Arabidopsis thaliana: one gene and its partners. The protein of the gene in region 2 interacts with the protein of the main gene of each other region in a pairwise test. Each region holds a gene or a part of one and is shown on either strand. Other genes may lie near its edges. The genes, in order: AT3G62400, HOS3-1, AT5G27370 and AT1G68380.

Region 1 (5,420 bases), on a different chromosome or scaffold from region 2:
GGAAATTCATCACAGAAATTTCCTTTTCTTTTGTAAGGTTGAGTATTTTCCTTTTTTTATACCTTTTTTTATATATTTGGGGGATGTAACTTGAGACTGAAGCAACCGCTGAACATCCTCAAAAGATATCAAAGGTGGCAGAGACGTAACGGGTTTCTTAAATGAACCACAAATGGGAAACAAGCATTGACTGTCAGCAAAAACCCTAGTGTACTGCCACAAACCCACGCTTGATGGTTCCCTGAGAAACCCAACTTTCCCGGAGACAAATCTCTAAATACACAAAGAGGGATGAAAATATCAACTCCATTCCCAGAGGAGGTCGCTGACGCTTATATTATGTGCACGTTGAGGAGTTAATCGCTAAGAATAAGATGAAGAATATCAACTCCATTCCTTGAGGAGGTCTTTAAGACTATTTGTTTACTAATTATTCTAAATGGTCGTATATTCTTTTTTTGACCATCAGATTTGTTTACATACACAATTGTAGACAATGAACCAAGAGATGGTCCAAGTAACTTTATTTAGTTATTTTCCTAAACAATGAACCAAGAGATTGACATTCACGGGACCAGCGTGAGTCACAGGAAAACGAAAATTTGGTTTTGTATTTTCAGTTCAGTTGTCATAGTGGGTTTTCCAAAATGGTTTTGGTTTGGTTGGTTAAATCGGATCGAGCAATGCCTACATTAAACAAACTTTTGAACACGTAACTGGAGCTTTGATTAGTTTGTAACTGTATTTATCGTTTATGGAGCAAATGGAGGTAAAGGAAGTGGTTCCAAGTATCAGGAACACCAGGGAGACACCAATGGCTGCAATCTTGGACAGCTCTTGAACGCCGGTTTTCGGGTTTTGTTCCGTAAATAGAAGGATGGGCGTCAATTCTGTACTGAGATAAACCGCTAACGTTCAAGAGGGTTACCGGTGTTCTCATTTGCTTCAGTACGTCCTCAACAATGGACTTTTTGCTCGAGTAACTTGGTTTGAAGGTTTGGTTCAACGGCATGTTGGCTTCTCTGCAATGACCTCCTGAGTTCCATTCTCCTCCACTGTCCAAAGATGCAATAAAGAGATGATAATGGAGACATATGATCGGTCTATAAAACCACACGAGAGACAGGACAATGACCTGAAATGAGAAGGTGCAGCGCTTCTAAAGAAAACGCGAGTTTTCTTCGGATCGACATTTTTGTCAACCCATGATGACCAAGTCTGCAAAGCTTTCTTAAAAGCGGTTGATACATCGAGTTTGGGATGAATCAGGTCTCCTTCTTGGTAGTAGTTGACCCTGCAAACCCAAACTAATCAATCAATATCTTGGTTCCATTCTTCTTCTGAAGTTTTAAAGTGAAAAAGTACTGACCCTGATTTGGTTTTGTAATGAGACCACCAATGAGCTGTATTGAACACTAAGATATTAGCACCTTTCCATCTGGAAGAGGTTCGATCCATAGCATCGATTCTAAGTGTTTCTCTTCGCTTCTTTCCTATTCTTGCTCTACCCTCACGAACCAAGAAATGAGTAACATAGAATTCCACAGTGCATTTATAATCCTAGTCAAGTACACAAACATGACATTAACACAACCACACGCCTGAAATACACTTAATGGTCCATTAAGATTAAAGTCATATTGTACCACGAAACGGAAGCTATAATTCCCTTTCTCTTTGGTGATTCTTCGGTTGTGCGTTTCGTATACTCTCTTGGGATCTTTAACAGCTTGAAACAACAAACAAAGCATAGATTCCCATTGGTTCCTATTAATTGAATCTCCAACGAACACTAGCCTCTTGCCTCTAATCATTTCCAGCATCTTTGTAGCATTGAACCTAAACTCACACATACCACAATTTCCAATTCAGGACCATGAATTGCATTCCTACTTATTCAGAGAGATTAAGTGCTCAGTGGAACTATGAATCCCACTTATCATCATCAGTCACTATCACCAACCACTACTACTTCAATAGAGAGATCTTCTTAAAGGCCTACGAGGAAAACAACAAAATTAGAAAGAAGAAATTAAACCTGGGAGCATGACAATCCTGAGGCTCCCATCTCCAATTCATGTAATTAAGATCCAATCTTCCATTGCTTTGACAACCAAATCCTTCATCGATAAAAGGACAAGACGCATTTGTGTACAATGGATAATCACTATCGTAAACCCACTTCCCTTTCGTAACATCACATTCTTCGATTCTCTTCTCTGTCTTCTTATCTTCACCATTGTTGCTCGGAAGTTCAATCACTTTAATCGAAGTTAAATTAGCAATTTCCCTAACTTCCTTAACCAAACTCTCGCCGCTAATCTTCTGCTCAAAAACAGAAATTTTTGAAGACCCGGAAGTGTTTTCGGGTGAATTGAAATGGGTAGAGATCAGAATCGGACTTGCTTGAGGAGAAACTGAAGAATCGGAAATGGCGGCAATAGGGCTTAAATCGATCTGGAAGTTAGCTTCTGGTGTTGGGTAAAGAGAAGAGTTAGATTTGAGTAAGGAAGAGGAGAAGAAAGTGAAGAAAACAATGGCGGAAGAGATTATTGTGATGATGAATGCTAAGACTCTTGTGGACTTCACAGAGAAACTTCTTTGTCTCTCCATCTTCTATCTCTTTATTTATTTTTTCTCTGTAACTGTTATAAGTTAGTTAAGAAAAAACAGTTTCATAATTATCTGTAATCAGAGAAATTTGAAATCGAAAAATGGAACTGTTTGAGAAAAGGATTGAAATTTTGGAGTCGACAAAGGTGGTTGAATTAGTGGGGTATAGAGGAGAGATTCGGTGAAGAAATGATAATGACGTTCTTACAAACTCGTGAGCTCATGAATTTTACAATAATTAACGGAACAGAGGGAAAGATAATGATTATTTAAAAAAGTTCAGGATTAGGAAATTAGTTTAGTGTGTTGACAGATTGGATTTGGCATTATTAACGTGGTGGGACACACTCGGGGAACACGAGCAGCGAATGGTTTACTTTTTTAAAAAGCAAATTCCATAAAATGCCCATTGAAGAAATAAGAGATCAGGCCCATGTTTAAGGCCCAATAAGACACAAATGGAGTAGAGAAGTGATTATCTGCTTACGCAACTTCTTCAATCACCCACCATTTCGTTTTCGTCGTGAGCTTCTGTCTCGTTCATCTACACAATCTGACTCGGTAAAGTCCATATTCTTCCCTTGATGATAATTGTTGTTTCCTTTATGATTTTGTGGTGATTTTCGTTATAGATAGGTGGCGGATTGTGAAGTTACGATTAATTTTTATCAGATTCGAATCCATTTCTCGTTTTTTTTCCCGTGTAGATCGGTGTGCTTAAGATCGGAATTTCTCGTTTAAATCTTCCGTTGATTTAGATTTGATGCTCTTAGTGTTGTGATGCTTTGAAACGTTAATCCTTTTCTTCGGGAGAAATGCCAATTTTATTTTCAGTATCTGGATCCTGTGGATTAGGGTTCTTGTATCATTTTGGGAATAAATTCAAAGCCTTTGATATCTTCCTTTGAATAGAGACGTAGTTAAGAGGTTAGACAGAAAATGGATCGAAATTGTACATGTTTATGTGTATATATAGACTCCAAGTGCAAACCAGTAGAAATTAAGAGATCAGGTAGATTAGTGTGTGTGTGTGTATAGATGTTTTATTGGTTGTCAATAAAGTTTTCAGCTTTAGGAATCGTGAGCATTGTGAAAGTATCAATTATGTTAGTATTGACTCTATGATTAAAATGTGTGCTAGGTTGAGAAGAAATGGCAGGACACAAGGTTGCGCATGCCACATTGAAAGGCCCGAGTGTTGTCAAGGAATTGATTATTGGTTTGACGCTTGGTTTAGCTGCTGGTGGTCTCTGGAAGATGCACCATTGGAATGAGCAGAGGAAAACTAGAACTTTCTATGATTTGCTTGAGAGAGGTGAGATCGGTGTTGTCGCCTCTGAAGAGTGAATGGGAATGCCTCTCTCTCACTCTCAATGTTGTTGGCTCGATTTTTCTGTTTTTATGGTTTCTTGAGATCTCAGATAAGTTACCTAAGAAAGTTGGTTGCTTGAGAAATAAACAACCACTCAGACATCAAAATTGGATATTTGTTAACACATTGTTTTCCGGAGATACAGTGGTTGAAACTTGAGACATCTGTCTTGACTTTTCCTTAAACAGTGTGTGATCATTTTATTATACTTACCAGCTTATTTTTTCTCATCTTTTTTGGATAAAATACGCAACAGGCACTTGTATCTTAGAAAACGGCTTGGATGGCTGCAAATTTTCAACATCGTACTGCTTCATAAACGATATCAAATACGTGGAACTTAATTGTTGGTTAATAGAGGATAAGAAATGGGGTTCACAGAATTAAATTCACGCACACTTCATATATCTTGTTCCCTCCCAATTATCTGAACTATCTTCTTTTATCAAAAACTATATTCACAGGCTGCCGTGTACCTTCTCCATCCAAAGATGGCAACTATAGCTACTGGTCTTAACATTGCAACCCAGCGTGTCTTCGTCACCAGCGAGAATCGGCCAGTTTGTCTCGCCGGTCCGGTCCATTTGAACAATTCGTGGAATCTTGGGTCAAGAACAACTAACCGGATGATGAAACTTCAGCCGATTAAAGCAGCACCGGAAGGAGGGATATCGGACGTAGTGGAGAAAAGCATTAAGGAAGCTCAGGAGACTTGTGCGGGCGATCCTGTGAGTGGAGAGTGTGTAGCTGCGTGGGACGAGGTTGAAGAACTTAGCGCAGCAGCTAGCCATGCTAGAGACAAGAAGAAGGCTGATGGTTCGGACCCTTTGGAGGAATACTGCAAAGACAATCCTGAGACCAACGAGTGCCGTACTTACGACAACTGAAGCGATCAAGATCCTGTTCCGGATTCATACGTATACGACAAATCTTTGTTCCGGTCCATTTGGTAATGTCAGGTTATATAAATCATGTCTTTGAATCTGAATTAGCTCTAAAAACATTTGTAATTTGTAGTTCCATAAACGAATACAAAAGCCAAAATTTCATAACAGGTAATGCGCAGCGAATAATAAGAAAGCTTGAATTCAATAAGAAACACATTAGACACCAATTACATGAGACACAAGACTAGAGGACTGAGGCTACAAAACCATACAAAGACACGAACAAATTGAAATTGCATAAAGATTGCGTTGTCCATTGACAACACAAGACTCAATTCACCAATGACACACTAATTGTTACAACAAGGACAGTAAGTAAAACAGACCAAAGACTCGAACTCAATGCTTCATTTTTGATCCTTCAGATATGAATCATCCATCTTCAGCAATCAAACATATCAGCAGAAGCTCTGATTGGTTGCATTGGACAAGGCATCTGCCAAGGGTTCTGCATAGATTCAGGAATCTCAGGAATATCCAAAGCCTGA
Region 2 (6,382 bases):
GCACCATAGTATTCTACCGCGAGTAGCACGACAGTATAGTAATTTCCCAATGACACACCAATCGTGTCTACTTCCTACCTTAGAATCTTTTTTTCCGCTTTTCCAGATTCTACCTTCACTTGGCAAGAAGCTAAAGCTTTGGTCCTCCTCATCCACGGCGTAAACCTTCTTCTCCTCTATCACCACACTTTGGTTGATACTATGGGCCATCTTCGGCGTATTAAATATACCCCAAGTTTGGTAAACTGGATCGAATACCTCCGCCCAGTTTGAGGAATCAGCGTCCTCTGGGCACCCTCCAAAAACGTAGATCTTCCCGTCTATGAGGCTTGCCGATGCGGAAGCACGAGCCATCTTCATAGACGGGACGCGGTGCCATGTCTGAGAAAAACAGTTGAGGAACAAGACATCGGAAGTGGGATTGCCGTTTATGATTCCACCGATTACATAACATAGATCCCCCAATTCACTACCACAAAAGAAGATGATTCCGGAGCCTGATAGGGGTGCGATGGGACCGGCCTCAGTCGACGACTACCCGTAAGGACGAACCAGCGAGGGGTTGGATCAGGTAAGATGCGCAAGCAGACGAAGAAAGATGGCTCAGTGCAACCAATCAGCGATCGCGTGCTGCAGAGCTCAGGGGATGTTACGAGAGAGCGGTATTTCTTGGAGCGAGAGATAAGGCTGTTTGGTCCAATCTCGAGACGCGAGCCATGCAACTCACAGCCACAGAATCCGGTAATCCAGACCACGACGGAGACGCCTCATTCATCGTCTTCTTCCTTTTACTTTGCGGTGGCACTTCGGGGGCGTAATTGTACATCGTCGAATGCTCTCGCATTCTCAATTCACAACAACACAAATTTAGAGATCTCTAGATCCATAATCATCTGATTGATTGATCGACCTTTCTTGCCATAAATTCTTGATTGGAATCGAGATTTTGTGAAGATAGGCCGATTCGGACAGAAACTATATATATTTTATGGTTTTTACTTTTCTCAAATTAACAAATATTAAAGGAAAAGGAAAGAAACAAGTACTTGCGCTTCACTTTGTCGGTTACTTGTTGTACTTGTGTTTCACTTTGATCTGGAGAGATTTGAAATTCTCTCTCCTCGTCGCCTTTCAACAAGTTCCGCGGTTGGTTGCAAGAGCCTGGACTCTTTGTTTCTGGTTTGTGAGATTGCAGAACCATCGATCGAGAGCTTAAGAGGATTTTATTTTTACAGTGGAGAATCAGATTTCAGATGTGGGCCTTATTATGTAAGCTTTTTTACTATGGGATATGTCATATGTGTGCCTAGTTAAGTAGAAAACCGTGGCCTTAGGCCCATCTTGTTCTACAGTTATAAATGCCTTAACTTTGATTAAGTGTAGTAATATTATACTAGGCCCAAATATTAAATATAGTCGACATAGTTCATTTCCTTATACAATGGTCTAAGGCGAACACTCGACCATATTCGTTTGACCTGTACATTTCCTTATACGGCATTCAAACGGTAAATAGAAAATCAAAAGTGTGTCCCCAAGTAGAGAGATACAATTGCAGCTCTTACAATCTAACACATCAGTCTCAAACCATATTATGTTTTCTCGCTTTTAATAATTTTTCCTCTTATCCAAAATGCATTTTCACTTGGTAAAGAGTATAAGCTTTTGATCATCCTCGTCCATGATCCACCATGTAAACCTTTGTTTCCTCTATCACCACATTTTGGTGGGTATTGTGGTATATCTACGTCATAAAGTTACCCCAAGTTTGAGTCTTTGGATCAAAAACCTCTTATGAAATAAATAAATATTTTTAAAGATATATTTATAAATAATCGACATAATTTCTTTCCACTTAAAAAACACAAAACTAGATTTAAAAGAATGAAAAACAAGAACTAGATTGCGTTAACTAAGAGCCAATAGTTCAAATGTAAAATATCTCATGCAAAGTCAGAGATCGATGGTTTATAAAAAAAAAATTGTCCCGGTTTGAGAAGATGTACAGACCTAGACGCAGAACATTTTAGTTATTAGAAAACAAATTAGATTATACTTCAGTTTTAAAAGTGAAAGACAAAAAAGAAGATTAGATTTGTTTTATTGAGTAAAAAGTAAAAACTAGTAAAAAGGATCAATTAATTCTTAAGCGTTACGTTGGCTATTCATTTTATTAATATGGCGTCGCATTGGCGAATGCATTCTCACATAAAAGTTAAGAAAAAGCAACAAAATCGCACCGTTGAGAACCGAGTTTAAACCCCACGCGCCAATCCCATTGCATCCACCTTTAAAGAGGTGCATCGTAAGAACCCCAGCGTGAGACACGAGATTACAGCCCACGAGAACCAACTGACAATTCACCACAAACGAAGGGAAAGCCGAACCGGGTAAACCAAACCCGGTCCAGAATCTATAACCGTAAACCACCGAGTAAACCAGAGTCGTCGATAGAATCGCTAGAATCTGGTACGACTGCGAGAATTCTAGCCAGAGGAAAGACGTGAAGGCCATGACGGAGTTACAAAAGAGCTGAGACACGGCGAGCCTCCGGCTACGTAAAACGGCGAAAATCGTACGGAACATGTGGAGAAAGCGCGTGAGGTAAAACACGTATGACCAAAAGAAGACACGACCAGAGGGACGAGTCCCGAGAGGGAAACAGAGAAGCCATTGGAGAGGAGTGGCGGTTTTGCTCCGCCGCCATAACCACCGTGTGTCACGGATCTCTGCGGCAGCGGAGAGGAGGATTCCGGCGAAAATGGTGGCGGAGAGGATCGACATGAGAAGGCTGTGGATTTCGGGGATGTGACCTAAAGGAACGGAACGGTTACTTCGGCGTACGGCGGAGAGGAGGATGTGGAGGGAGGATGAGACGGCGATATAGAGGGAGATTGATGTGAAGAGGAAAGACCACGTGGAGCCCCATGATTGGCTGTTACTCCAACGGAATCCGACGATGTATGGATGTTCGGAGAGGAAGTAGGTAATAGAGTTAATCAGAGCCGTTGACATAGTTTGAATTTGATCGTACGGTGGTGGTGATCACAGTGACTCTTCTTCTTCCTCTGTTCCTCTAGTCCTGTCTTTTATATGTGTGCGTGCGACTTTTTCGCAAAGTGAATCTCTGTTTCTGCTCTTATTTTTTTTGTTGGGATATTTAATTTCCATTTTCCAATAATTGTTGTAGAACATACAGTAGGTCACTAAATGGCCGGTCTTGTCATGAAAGCAAAATGATGTGGACCAATATTAATTGTCACATTTACGTGACAAATTTAATTTGGCTACATAAATGAATATTGTAAAACGGTTATGAAAATTTTTAAGATTTATGGTCTTAATGGGGTTTTACTGTTATTGTCGAAAATCGAAATAGCAAACCATATTTGAAATATCTTCAAAAAGATCAGAAAACTTGGTACGCGTCAAGTTGACCATTACCATAATCGAAAAGCAGGTGGGAAAACCAAAGAACCTCTAGACACGAAAGAGAGTTTGGTGTTGAGAAATTCAGACAAGCGTCAATTTACAGATGCCTTCATGGTTAAGTTTTAAGTTTTACTCAAGGAGCTACAGATGAGAAAGAGTGCATTACGTAAAACAAAATGCAAATATTGGAATATGGATCGGGCGATCGTTACGAAGATGAATCTACATCAGTAATCAGTAACGAGTTAGTATTAAATTACTATTTCACACAATTTGATGACCAGCTAAGACAGAAGATATTTGATACGTATCAAATAAAATTAGTAGAAATCAAATTGTCCTAATCGTTATATTGGCAATAAGCGTTATAGTACCACGTGAGTAAACAAAAATATTAGATACGTACCAAACAAATGCGGCAGGAACAGTGTAATATATCTCTTTTTCACTATGAGGAATTTGGTTTTGTCCACTTGATAGTATTTTCCACAAGTGACTCTTTTCTTTAGTCTCATTTTCCAGAAGTGATTCTTGACCTACCAAACTAAGTATTTTATTTACACGGTCGTAGTTGATTTCTCGTGAATTAATTAAAAGGAGACTTGGACGGTGAACTTACAACGACTACTCCCACGCATAACATGTTCTATCAATCATTTATGTAAGCCCGCCGAAACAATCATTAAGCATATGTTATACTTGTTTAATTTATAAACTAAAAATCATTTAAGTTAAAACTAAAACTAATTTCGGAATTGGCTTCAACTAAGATTTAGGCCTCAAATGACAAGGTTTTGTTGAGTTTTTGGTATAGATAACATGTTTAAAGTAATGATATCTCATATGCATATGCATGGAAGTATTGTAACATTTAACATTCAGAAAGTCAGACTTGAAATTTATAAATCTACATCACAATCGATTCTTTTATCTACTCTTCCAAATTACATAAGCCGCACTAATAGAACTTTTTTTTTTTTTTTTTGTCTTTTTCCTATTTTCCTAGAAAGATTATGAAATATTCAAAAATTATAGTTTGACACAATTTTGGGGGTCAATATATCTTTCTCAGGTTAGTAGGACAACGAGACACCAATGATCAATTCTGTAGAGATCCAAGAATCTTGGGAACAGCACCTGAAGGCTTGGGATTAAACAGCTTTTTCAGCTCATCATACCTCCCAACATCAAAATCCTCAGATTGCATCAGTTTCCTTTGTTTAGCCTCAAACCTGCTTTGGTAAAAACCTTGAAAGGAAGGCTCTCTCGATGTCTTGAGGAAAAATGTGTAACCCGCCATGAAATATACCGATGAGACATAGAAACAGATCGGTTCCATAACATCCCATGTCAGGTCCCAAAACGTTAGCCTCATAAACCCTGCGGTTTGGATGATCAAGTAACCCAAACCAGCCCAAAGCTCTCTTCTCACCAAAGAATGTGCTTTTTGGTCAATGACCGTCTTTATAGCTTCAAGCTCATTTAGCTCCTTTCTTCTTGGGTCATTCGGGTTATGGATTTGTGATAAAGGAAGAAGCCCCTCTATGGATTTGGTTAACTGATCAACACACAAGACCTTATCAGAGAATTGCATAGACAAAAAAGAATTCAAATGGTAAAAAAAAGCAAAGAGGAGGAAGAAGTTACCTGATGAGGTCTTAAACAAACAGAGTTTCCCATAACGATAACGTTTCCTGAATCATCAAGCATCTTAGCGATCAAAGCTCCTTGAGAAGGATCCAAAGAAGAATCACTACAAACACCTAAGAAATCTGAGTAACGAATCCAGATTTTTCCTGTCTCCATCAGCTTCGTTTTAATAACTTCGATCTCTGCTGCTCTTAGCAACTTCTTCACGTCTTGCACAGTAAGCCCTAACGTCTCCTCCTTCGGATGAGAAAGTCCGTCTAATCGAATCCGATCCTTGTTCATATCCATTTCTTTAAGCTTCTCCATCAGACTCTCCCCAATAGACATCTTCGAAGTCGTATCAATCCCATTCATGGAGAATTTATTCAAAAACCTCTGAGAAATCGTCAAATCTCCAGGCTCTGGATCAATCGTGGCTTCTCCTATATCTTTAGGAACCCTAGTTCGCATGGCTAACGAAGAAGAAGACGAAGTACGACAGTTCATGAGACTTTGCGACGCCGTTTTTGACATATTGAACAAACGGTTCGACAAAAGCTTCTTCATCATCACCATGACGAACAGAACAAAAAAAAAATACGAAAAATCGAAATCCCAGAAAGGAAGAGAAGAAAATGAATTCGATTTCAGTTACTACTTGAAAAAATGAAACAGCAAGAGCGAGCTTTATATAGGTAACCAAAGTTCTCTGTTACAGTTTTAATTTTACGTTTAACATAAATCTTGTGGGGCCTTATACACGTCAGCAGATATATCACGAGAAATTCAATAAACGCTGCCTTTTCGTGAATATTGATAGGTGACTACCGTCCACGTGGATAGATTTATGTTGGTGATAGCTTTCGATGCCTCAATAACCGTCCGATTAAATTTTAAAAAGATATAATATCTTGATAACTTATTTGACTATGAGTAAATTACACAACAGAATTAAAAAGAAAGGCAAAAACGTGTCGCCACATTTTCTGTTTTATCTTGTTATTATCTCTTGCATCTAGTAGTAAATGGTAATGTTGAAGAGATGATTTTTTGAGATGTAATAATGTCTATATAAGGAAAACTTAGTAAATATTTGAAACAATGACGTGTTGCCACATTTTTCGTTTTTATCCTTTGCACACCTAATAAAGAGATAACAAATGTGATGTAATGTGGATGTAACTACTGTGTCTGGTTAGGTAATTCAGTAAATTTAAACACACGGACGTGTCGCCACATTTTCTGTTTTATCTACAAATTTGTTTTTCAAAATAGCATCACCGGATAAACATGTTGAAAAAATAAATAATAAAATTAATGA
Region 3 (4,657 bases), on a different chromosome or scaffold from region 2:
TAATTCTCAACTTAATTTTGTGCCATAATCTTTGATTAAATGAAATATGTAGGAGCAAAGACGAAGTTATAGTAAACGAGCAGAGTGGTTATCTAATGCGCACGAAGATCGCATCATCAGATGAAGGCGGCGTTGCAGCTGGTTTTGGAGTCTTGGACAGCATATATCTGATTTGAGATGGATAACATTCACAACCATCTTGATCAGTTTTTCTTCTGGTTTATTCCTTCTTCTTCTCTTCTTGCTTGTTAAAGATTTGTGTATTAATCATGAAGATCAATAAGACTAGGCAAAGCTCTTTACAATTCTTTCCACAGGACCGCAAAGCCTACATTGCTTATTGTTATTTTTAGACCGTGTGAGATGATTACTCGTTTATAAAGATCATGAATTGAATAAGATAAGATCAATCATGGAATTTGGGGTATAAAGATTATTACCATAGCAACATATTTAGACCATAGGCACATATATGTACATACACAAATAAATGTTATGAATCAACGAATGTCTGAAATTCCGATGCCTCTCCGTTTTGAGGGAAAGATAGCAAAGAAGAAGCTTGCCATTGTCAACACCATAACAGCAAAGTACTTGATCATAAGTACAAAATGACCACCCCAACTGTTTTCATCGTCCTCCGGGAGCAAACACCTCCGAAAATCCGAGCTCTCTACGGCTAACGCTAAGAACACGATAACCGACACGAAAGCATGCACGAAATCTACAAAACTGAGCTTATATCTCTCTCTCTTATCAGCCGTTAAGCCGGACTCTGGATCATAACCTTCGTCTGGATAGTCGTTGAGGATGTGGAGACCGTTAGAGGTGGCAATTCCGTAGTAAATGCGGCCATCTTGGCCTACATATGAGTCGGTGAAGGAGGAGAAGAAGCAAGCCGCGGCGCAAAAGGAGATGAGAGTAATGGTGAGGAGTTTATTGACGGGTTTGTTGTTGCACTCGCCGCCATTGGAGAAAGACGGTAGTAGGGTTTCGAATATGAGGGCGGTCCCGGTCGGCAATAGGTTGGCGAAGTTTCCGGCAGACGGTAGCGATCTAATGAACGACGCCTCCATTTCGTAATTTGATCGGAAGTGAGGAAAGTTTGTATGTTATGTGGAGAAAGAGTGTTTTGTATGTTCTTCTATACGTAATGCATGCATGCGTGAGGATATGTTTGATGCGTCTTTATATACATTTCTTAAAGATGTCGAGTTTTATTTGGTGTCCGAATATGTAATATATATTTAGTTTTGTTACTATATATTTCCACATTTTGTCAAAAGAAAATAAAGAACTATAGATATACACATTTGGATAACCCTTTTTTGTTAGAAGTTAGTTTATATATTGGAACTTAGTTTGTGGTTTATAACTTTGGCTAGTCGTTAATGAAATTATGGTGCATCAAGATATTAAGTGGAGGTACGCTCTTATTTCGTGTTTAGATCTTAAAGTGTCAAAATACTTTTATGAAAGTGCTATTTTTTACAAAATTCGATTCGTTATTTTTGCATGGCCATAAACAAGTTGGGACACGATTTTTTTACGTGTTCACACACACATGCATTATTTGATTAATCAAATCTGCCAGGGAAAGAAAAAACAAATCTTAGGAAAAAAAAAACATAATATTTGAGCTAAAACGTAAATAATTGGAGATGTGCATGTTCTATGAAATTGAGTCCATTAAGCGATATCTTGCACGGTTGTACCTAACTCATTTTGGTGACTCGGTCTTACAAAAATACGTCAATTTTTATAACACAAAATACATGTAACGTCTAATGGTCTTTCATTTAAAATATATATCTTGTATTCTTGTTTTATATAAATAATATGACGAAATGAAAATATGTATGAAAATGTAAGATGTTACTAACCTTGCACACATAAAGATCGAACCGTTTCTCATTAAGCGAACCGTAAAATTTTCATCTGATGAAATTTCATGAAGATCCTTTACAAAAAAAAAAAAAAAAAAATCCAGTTGCGAGATGCATCTATACTATTAATTGGAAATCATTGAAAATAAACAACCTTATGAAGGGTAAAATATTACATAGAATGCCATTGATTGTTAGTGTTTTTAAATAAATTTATTAAGAATACAATAGTAATCACAAAATTAATATATTTAAATATAAAAATTGGTAATATTCTTTTAAGTAATTATTAGTTTCCCAAAATTAAACTCACTTTCTCTTTCCTATTAATTATAGACGAAAAAATAAAATATATTTCTTAAAATTTGTTAACCAATAAAAATTGAAAAACTTAGATTTGATATCAAATTATACAATATTATTAAACTAACATTTTGGAAGTTAAGTTTTATTTTAAAATTTTAAAAAATCATAAGACTTGCTTGATATCATGAATAAAAAAATCATAATTTGTGATAGATAAATAAATTCAATTTAGAATTTTGGGTTAAGTATTTTGAAATATAAAACGAAAATTTATTTTAAAATTTTTAAAAACGAGATAAGATGTTACAAATATTAATATTTACTATGAATTAAACTAAAATAATTAATTTAAAATAATTATCATTATGCCTTACATTTAGAAATATCTAAACAATAAATTTTACATACTAATTTTGAAATATTTTGGATTTTCTTTTTTCTATTTTTCAACCGGATCTTTTTTCAAATAAATCTATAATATATTAGTGCACAAACTTTTGAAATAATATAAACTAATTATACATTTTTCATTCAGAACAAATTATCCAGCAAAATAAATTGCTTTTGTAGGGGTATTTCAAAATTTTAATTATATTCCAAAAATCCAATTAATTATGATTAAACAAGGGAAAGAAGAATATTAAACATGTAGGTAAGGAAATAAACATTATTACATTTGTTAAAATATAAATTTTTACAAAATTATTTGTTATAATGCTATTCATATTTTTGAATTTGAAAAAAAATCAAGAAAGAGTATTTTTGTGTTTTAATTTATGATATATTTGTAAACTTTAACATCCTATATGTTAATCCGCAAAACTCAGTCATATATAACATGATATTTAAAGGTAAGCAAATAAGAATTTTGGAACGTATTTTCAATGGAATGAAATGAAAATAGGAATTATGAGACACAAACGACATGAAAAGAAACGGAAGCACTATATAAAGAAATTTGAAACCAAACTGGACATCAAATTAAATATCCAACTGGTATGAGTTTGGGTTATGAGCACTATATAAAATAAATTAACCCTGCATGTACGTATTTTGTGACACAAATTCTATTTGTGATGGGCGTTGGTAGTATTTTTATTTCACATATACAGACGGGTTATGGAACGAAGAATTTATGATAGATACATCACATTATGGGTTTTCCGTTCCAAGAAATATACGTCAAATATACGTTTTAATTTTCTAAACTAATCAAAACATTATAACAGTTTGATTACTGGTGTAAAATAGGATATAAATTTGGTTTTAGTTTGGGTTATTTCCCCGTGTGAGTCCAGATTTTAAAATATAATTATACACGAACACAATTGAATTTTGGTTGTTATTCTTACCTTTATAATATCTATACTATTACAAAGTTTACTTATAACAAAATATTATATATATTTTAAAAATCTATTACTTTTTTTCATATTTTGCACGTATATGCGAGTTCTGATATCTAATACATTATACTATAATATATATCATAAAATAACAAAAAAATCTACATTGAACTAAAAATATAAAATTCCAAAAATATGAAATTCCGCACGTATGTGCGGGTAAGGATCTCGTAAACATTAAAAGAAACAGCGAACAGTGGTCATTTTCTTTGAGAAACGGGAGCAAAGTAACGTTTCATTAATAATAATAATTTATTATCTACAATCCTTCTTGATGATTACCGAGAATTAACAAGCCTCACTATATCATATATGATATATGTAACACTTAATTATGCCATCATATTTGTTAATCATCGGAATTGTTTCTCAAACTCTATTAGCCAAGAAACAATTCCAATGATTATGAGATATAATACCAAACTCAACATCTTTAGAGTAAATATCTCATTTCTATGATCAAACTCAGTCTTAGATTTCGATTTAGTAATCTCTTGTTAGGTTCAGTTCAGTTTCATTTGAGATTAGGTTTATCGAAGAGTATACTTCCTCTTAATAATCCTTTATTTTGGTGATGATATGGATACATCCCCAAATATCTTCTTTTTTTGTTTGTTCAAATCCCCAAATATCTATTAAGTTTGAGATCTTTTAAGTTTAAAGATGACCAAGTCATGGGTTTGAATCCTAACAATATCTCTAAAAACTAATTTTTCTTTCCGTCCGAAAAACAAACAAACAACTAATTATGGTTTCGGACACAAAAAGACTATGGACAATATGTTTATAATACTTTTCGTAAAAAAATATTGTAATTTCACTTAGTTATAATATTCAGAATCTGATCCATTTAGTGTTGGGATAGTGGTAAGAAGTCAGTCTAAAATAAAATGGTGAAGTCTATTTTTGGTTGGAAATGATTTTTTTTATTTATTTTTGTTGAAATGTTATTTTAATTTTATCAACAAAAAGGTAATTTACAAAAGGAAAAAGAGAGACATGTTTAAAACGTTAAAACAAACATGGCACTTATTTTACACTAGAGAACAGAAGATATTG
Region 4 (5,950 bases), on a different chromosome or scaffold from region 2:
AATTTTCTGTAAGCGGATTTGATTTCTTGATCATTAGCGTCCTTTGATACACAAAGGACCTCGTACGGATCCCGTCGATTCGCCGGAGCCGACGAACCTTCAAGCTTTTTCGCGCTCATCTTCTCGAAGAATTTGAAATCACAAATGTTCAAATTCGAAGGGGAATTTGCAGATCCAACAGCGGCGGACCTAGAATAACGCGATTTCAGGTATCTTCAATCGAGAAATTGAACGAATTTGAAACCTCGGAAAAGAAACGATGAAGAAAGGAGGATCTAAAAAGCTCACAAAATAAGAGAGATTGGGGAAGAAGAAGATCGAGGAAAAAAAACGAAACAAGGGTTTCCGAAAAAATAAAAGGTACTATTAAATTTATTTTATTCGTTTTGGACAAACTAACTCGTTGATTTTTCATATTTAATTCGATGACTTTTTAAGGAAATCGAAAATTACTGATTTTTTTGTGGCCATTACGAAGTTTTATTATAAGAGTGATTATATTATTATTGATATTATTTTAATAATATCATTTGTGATATGGTAAGTCAAAAATTGAATTTTTGTAGAAAATGAATTGGAATTATGTTTTGGGTCACATAAATATATGTAAAATTGAATTTGAATGAATAAAAAAAAAAAAAAAAAAAAACTAAATATAGCAAAATGGAATAATCAATATGTAAATGGGGAAAAAATCAACAATTGTATAGAAAATTTTGCCATTGGTGGTGGTGCTTCTCATTAGGTTCTTGCTTTTTGTGCTATCTTTTTAGGTGTTTCTCATACTAGAACATGCTTGATTAAGATAAAATCTTCACATTTCTGTTACTAATAGTGTTTCTCTTGTCGAACATTTACGACTTTTGGCTTGAGAAGGTCTTGTTTATATGTGGTTTAGCCTTTGTTTCTGTTTCTACAACTTGATAAATTGCGTTTTGAGTGTTGCCCAAAAATGGATGTGTATTGAGCTGCTTAATTAAGATCTTCTTCACATTTCTTGGTGGTAGTAGTGTTTTCAAGTGTTTCTTTGGTTAAACATTTGTGGCTTAGTTTCTATCTCGCTTAAGAAGATGGGAGAAGGAGATTAAATATCTGACATGACTTTATTCTTCTTTGAGTATTCAGGTGTCTAGGCAAAACTTTTAGTCCTATTAGTAGCAATTTGTTCTTTTTTTTCTTTTCCTATTTTTCTCTTCTATAAGTTCTTACCATATGAGTATACATTGTCTGCAGAGTTAGGTGCTAATATGAATGGATACCTTCTCATAAATGCTAATGGAGGACTAAACCAAATGAGATTGGGGGGTCAGGCTTTTGTGTTTTCTCAATGTTTCTCAAGTTATCTTCTGTTTATAACTTGATGACAGGCTAGTTCCTAACTTTATCAAGGACTTTGATTAATCTCACATCCCTAGTACTGAAAGTAACTTGTTAAGCACACACTGTATATTTCACTTACTTAAAGAAGATTTGGTAGTTAAACCGATTGCATCTTTGTTTTTGGACGAAGGGGGAAGAGAGTGATCAGAAATACATGACGATAGATGCTAACCGGAGTAACTCATCCAAAGCAGTCGACGAAAACTTGCGAGCAAAGAGAAAGCAAAGTCTCATCTTATTTTCTCCATTTTTCTTACAATCACCAACACTCTTCATCCTTAGCCACTCCAAGAACTCCACATTAACCTCCCACTCACCAAACAATCTCGGGTGAGCCCTACGCTTGCTCCAGTCAGTCCAAGTAAGCGTCCTATTCGCGTTACGCAACCCAAGGCTCGGCCTCATGTTGAGTAGCGTCGGGATATAGTGCTCGTCGGGGCAGCGAGAGTAAGCTTTAAAGATTGGCCAGTAGAACGTATCAGAGACTACCTCGAGGGCCATGGCTCGGTCTAGCTCGAACCACTGAGAGCCTTTTCGCCATTGGTGCATGCGGATGTGAGGATACATGCGGCGGTCATAGCGGACGCGACCGATTGTGAGGTCGTAGGAGTCGACGTGGGTTAGAGTGGAGTCGATGAGGAAAGAGTAAACTGTGGAGAAGTTGAAGAGAGGGATGCATGATTCGGAGAGAAGAATGAAACGTTCGTTGTTGATGTCTAATAAAGCGTTTGCTAATAACCTTCGTTCTGCTTCTACCATGTTTGCGTTTCCCCAATCCACTCTCTGCATACGTTTATAGTTAATGACATTGGATTGATTTTATTTTATGTATTATAGTGTAATAATTAATATGTTTTCTTTTAAGATACCAAATATTCTTATATTTTTATGTAATTTACTAAAAAAGATAGGAAAAATATCGTATTCATGTACTTCGATCCGTTATATATATATATATATATATATATATATTATTTATAATATATTTATAAATTTTATTTATCACGTTAATTCCAAACCTATTAATGTATCGAAATAAATTTCTTAATAATTTGGGAAGCTGACCTTGCTTGGAATACGGCGGCCATAAAACACAGAGTCTTGCGGCATGAACTCGTCGTAAGACGAATTGGTGTGAACGTAGATAGTGAAAAGACCTTCATGACCTCGAAAGAACCTTTCCCATAGAGGAGCCAAAGGTAAAGGTCCCCAAGTCAAGAACATGAAAGCAACCTTCGGGATTCTAGGATAAGGGTAATCCCTGATCTTAGGATCCATTGAAGCTCTCCACAGAAGTTCATTATCTTCCATATCGTGCATGATGTTCTTCAGTGGTATCAGAAACATGTCAAGCCCATTGTCCTGAAATGAAGGAGAAAGAATAGGAGGAGGAGGGGTTACAAAGAAGAGTTGGGAGACACTTTGGATGGTTAACGAAGAAGGCGAAGATAATCCTTGTAGAGAGGGATAAACAATGATTCCAACTATCACGCCGATCCAGAGGATGAAGAAATACAAAAGGAGATTGTGGAAATGGTGGAGTAGTTTCTTGAGAAGCTCTATCACTTGAGATAATGGTGAGTTTTGGTCCTTTTGGGTCGGCATTTCCAACTACCGATACATGTGTAAGAGAATTCTTGTTTCCAATGTTTTAAGGGTTAAAAAGAGATACATGGATCTTACTTCCTAGTTGGAATGAGGTTAAAAAGTGGAGAAGAGCAAGTAAAAGTGGAGATCTTGTGGCGTGAGTGATTAACTCGTAAAAACAAAAATACACACGCAATGGAATATAACATTTTGAGGCAGTTTTTTGATGATCCAAGCAAAGTCAATTGGGTTATATACGTAGCATCTTATTACTACTCTTTCACTAGCATTAATTCTTTAAACTAAAATTACAAATTTCCTTACATCAATATTAATTTACTTTTTTAAAAAGATTGATAGGAGTAGACTAACCAATCTTTGTCTTTGAATGAACTATTTCGCTATATGTCCATGCAATATATATTTTTTTAAGTTCGTTTTCCCAAAATCATATTTCTTTGTTATAAGTGGATATAATATTGATGGTGGTTTAAATGTTTTACTTGTAGTTTCGCTATATACTTTTTTTTATCTCTTGGTCGCATGTTTAAGTTTATTGCTTTTACTTATTAATATACCTTATACCTATATGATTTATCATTCTTTCGTTTTTGCTCATAAGTTTATTGCATACCTTGTCAATAATATACATTATTTTCTGGTAATCGTTCACAAGACATCCTTGAAACCTCCACGTTTACATTGCTTAACGCTTGCAACAATTTCATTGTATATATAAAAAAAAAGATCGTAATGAAAACAATATGAAGCTTATATATATATATATATATAGCACTACAAGTTAAACCTAATTTGTTTTTTTTTATAACTACCGGAGTGACTTTATCTACAAGAATGAAAATGACGCAGCCATAAAAGCAGGATCGTGTAGATTGCTATTAAAAACCTAAGTGAACAAAGATGTGAATTTCATTTACTCGATGTTTATAGTATGCAATAGACATGGTACCAACTCTTACAGATAATATATTCAACCGCGTAGACATTAAATCAAGAGGTAAACTGGAGAAACAATTACATACGTGGGAAATAATTTTTTTTATCGAACGGCGACCTACATGCTTTGTCTAATAGTCTTTACCAGTTGAGCTATTGAAATTGGTTTCGTATGTTTTCTCTTAGACGAAATATCTCTTTTTGTATTTTTTTATTTATTTATCAAATGAAAGTGACAAACATTATTTGCTTAAAGCTTTTGTTAGAAAATTAATCTCATGTAACTCAGATATAGGATTTTTTCATGGTTTATCTTTTACTTCTTACAAAACTGTAGATCCATGGATGCAAAAAAAAAAAAATGATCCATGAGACTATGTGAGTGAAAAGGATTTAACCTATGTAATTAAATTGAAGATTTTATATATTATGTATTTTCTACTTAAGTAATAGATTTTCGAGGGACAGTTATATCAGGCCATTCATACAAAGCCATTAGAGTATTCAAACATTAACTATATACACAGAATATAATTATAGTTGATATGAAACTAAGTTGAAGTCAACCTTGCGAATTCTAAACTGAAAGAATATTACTTTTTTGTTTGGTTCAAATAAAAGAAAATTACTTGTTGCACTATATAAATATTGATAAATAAATTGATTGGTCAAATTTACGTGTAGTTGCACATTGTTGAAAGCTGTAGGGTGAAGAGACAATAATTGTGCAAACAAGTGGCATCAACCCTGGGAATGTCATGACGTAGTGTAGGAAAAATGCATTCCATTCCATTTGGGTTACAGAACCGTCATGTTAGACGAGACTCATGCATGGTAATGATGGCTGAGTTAAAAACAACAACAAATATGTGATCATTTGGGTTCACTAGTGATACGAGAATATGCGTTTTCCATCACGGCTGCTTCCGAGAACTTTACAACAACATATATGTGATCATTTTGCTAGCTATGATACAAATTCTAGAGTGTAAAAAATAAACAAACAATAGTATCATGTATAGCTAACAAAATGATCCACAAGGTGAAAGTAGGCTAGTAACAGTGGTATTTTCTAAAATTTGAAATTTTATTGTTATTCCGAGAACTTCACAACATAACGTATGAGCCCATGGCTGGCCAAATGAAGTAATGGTTTGGAACCCATTTTATGATTTTTTTTTTTTTGTAAATATATAAATAGCTATGGTATATTTAAACAAATATGGTTAGAAGAAAAGTAACAACTACGTTTTTAATGTCGATTTTATAATATATATATATATATATATGTATAGTTATTATTTTCTTAAAACAGATATAAATTAAATTTAAATAATTATATCTATATTAAAGGGCTCTTATTTTTTTTTTGAGAATATTACACTGTAAAACACTTTTTAAAAAACATTTCCGTGGTTAGACACTTTCTAAAAAGAAGGCACTTTGAATGTATAATTTGACCAATTTACCCTCTAACCATATATCGCTTTATCTCTCTCATCCACCTATTCTTTCAAAAAATAAACAAAACTCAAGCCAAAAAAATATATTTATACCTTTTTCTTTCTTTCCTTTTCAACAAATCATCAGCTTTTATGAGAAAGAGAGATTGAGATTCACCTTCTTTAATTTTTCGCGTGTGCTTTGATCTGACTTGAAGGAAAAAAATTTCAGACCATCAATTTGAGAATCTGTCCTATCTGGCTGATTTAGTTACATGACTCGTTGAATGCTTGAATTGGATTTACAGTTTGGTTTTCGTTTTATGTTTTTGCTGTTTGTTGCAAAATTAATCTCATTACTTGCTCTTTGATTCTTTGTCTTGCTTTTCCAATTTCATATTCGAGATTATTCTCTTGAATTGGAGATTAAAGCCTCGTAGTGGACTTCGAATCGTTTGATAGTAATGGTCGAATCACTAGTTGATGGAACTCGTTGCTTAGTTCATGTTCTGTGAATTTGATTCATGATTATATTTGGGTTGTATCTTTTCAGAAAATCTGGTTATTTTATGTGTTCATCATAA

What was found.
Region 1: the proteins of HOS3-1 (region 2) and AT3G62400 interact in a protein complementation assay, tested with the Arabidopsis thaliana proteins (one large-scale study listed by BioGRID).
Region 3: the proteins of HOS3-1 (region 2) and AT5G27370 interact in a protein complementation assay, tested with the Arabidopsis thaliana proteins (one large-scale study listed by BioGRID).
Region 4: the proteins of HOS3-1 (region 2) and AT1G68380 interact in a protein complementation assay, tested with the Arabidopsis thaliana proteins (one large-scale study listed by BioGRID).

What each region holds. Positions count from the first base shown.
Region 1 is NC_003074.8:23,086,530-23,091,949, forward strand, and holds AT3G62400 (cytochrome C oxidase subunit), read left to right. Parts: upstream 1-3,066; 5' UTR 3,067-3,174; intron 3,175-3,754; 5' UTR 3,755-3,765; coding exon of another isoform or gene 3,766-3,883; coding exon 3,884-4,144; 3' UTR 4,145-4,292; downstream 4,293-5,420. Other genes in the region: TBL6 (TRICHOME BIREFRINGENCE-LIKE 6), read right to left, coding at 746-1,055, 1,136-1,294, 1,370-1,560, 1,647-1,839, 2,039-2,613; CP12-2 (CP12 domain-containing protein 2), read left to right, coding at 4,477-4,872; BZIP53 (basic region/leucine zipper motif 53), read right to left, coding at 5,315-5,420. UniProt on the Arabidopsis thaliana protein: This protein is one of the nuclear-coded polypeptide chains of cytochrome c oxidase, the terminal oxidase in mitochondrial electron transport.
Region 2 is NC_003075.7:17,346,144-17,352,525, reverse strand, and holds HOS3-1 (GNS1/SUR4 membrane protein family), read right to left. Parts: upstream 3,309-6,382; 5' UTR 3,016-3,308; coding exon 2,241-3,015; coding exon of another isoform or gene 2,146-2,240; exon of another isoform or gene 1,899-2,145; intron 1,745-1,898; coding exon 1,593-1,744; 3' UTR 1,363-1,592; downstream 1-1,362. Other genes in the region: AT4G36840 (Galactose oxidase/kelch repeat superfamily protein), read right to left, coding at 1-360; AT4G36820 (calcium uniporter (DUF607)), read right to left, coding at 4,532-4,990, 5,080-5,637. UniProt on the Arabidopsis thaliana protein: Probable very long-chain fatty acid (VLCFA) elongase that controls VLCFA composition and functions to inhibit abscisic acid (ABA)-mediated stress responses, including regulation of stomatal aperture, maintenance of primary root growth and inhibition of germination.
Region 3 is NC_003076.8:9,663,730-9,668,386, reverse strand, and holds AT5G27370 (inactive Serine/Threonine-kinase, putative (DUF679)), read right to left. Parts: upstream 1,077-4,657; coding exon 501-1,076; downstream 1-500. Other genes in the region: GSH2 (glutathione synthetase 2), read left to right, coding at 53-176. UniProt on the Arabidopsis thaliana protein: Involved in membrane remodeling.
Region 4 is NC_003070.9:25,634,409-25,640,358, forward strand, and holds AT1G68380 (Core-2/I-branching beta-1,6-N-acetylglucosaminyltransferase family protein), read right to left. Parts: upstream 3,055-5,950; 5' UTR 2,986-3,054; coding exon 2,446-2,985; intron 2,164-2,445; coding exon 1,525-2,163; 3' UTR 1,430-1,524; downstream 1-1,429. Other genes in the region: ARG1 (Chaperone DnaJ-domain superfamily protein), read right to left, coding at 1-119.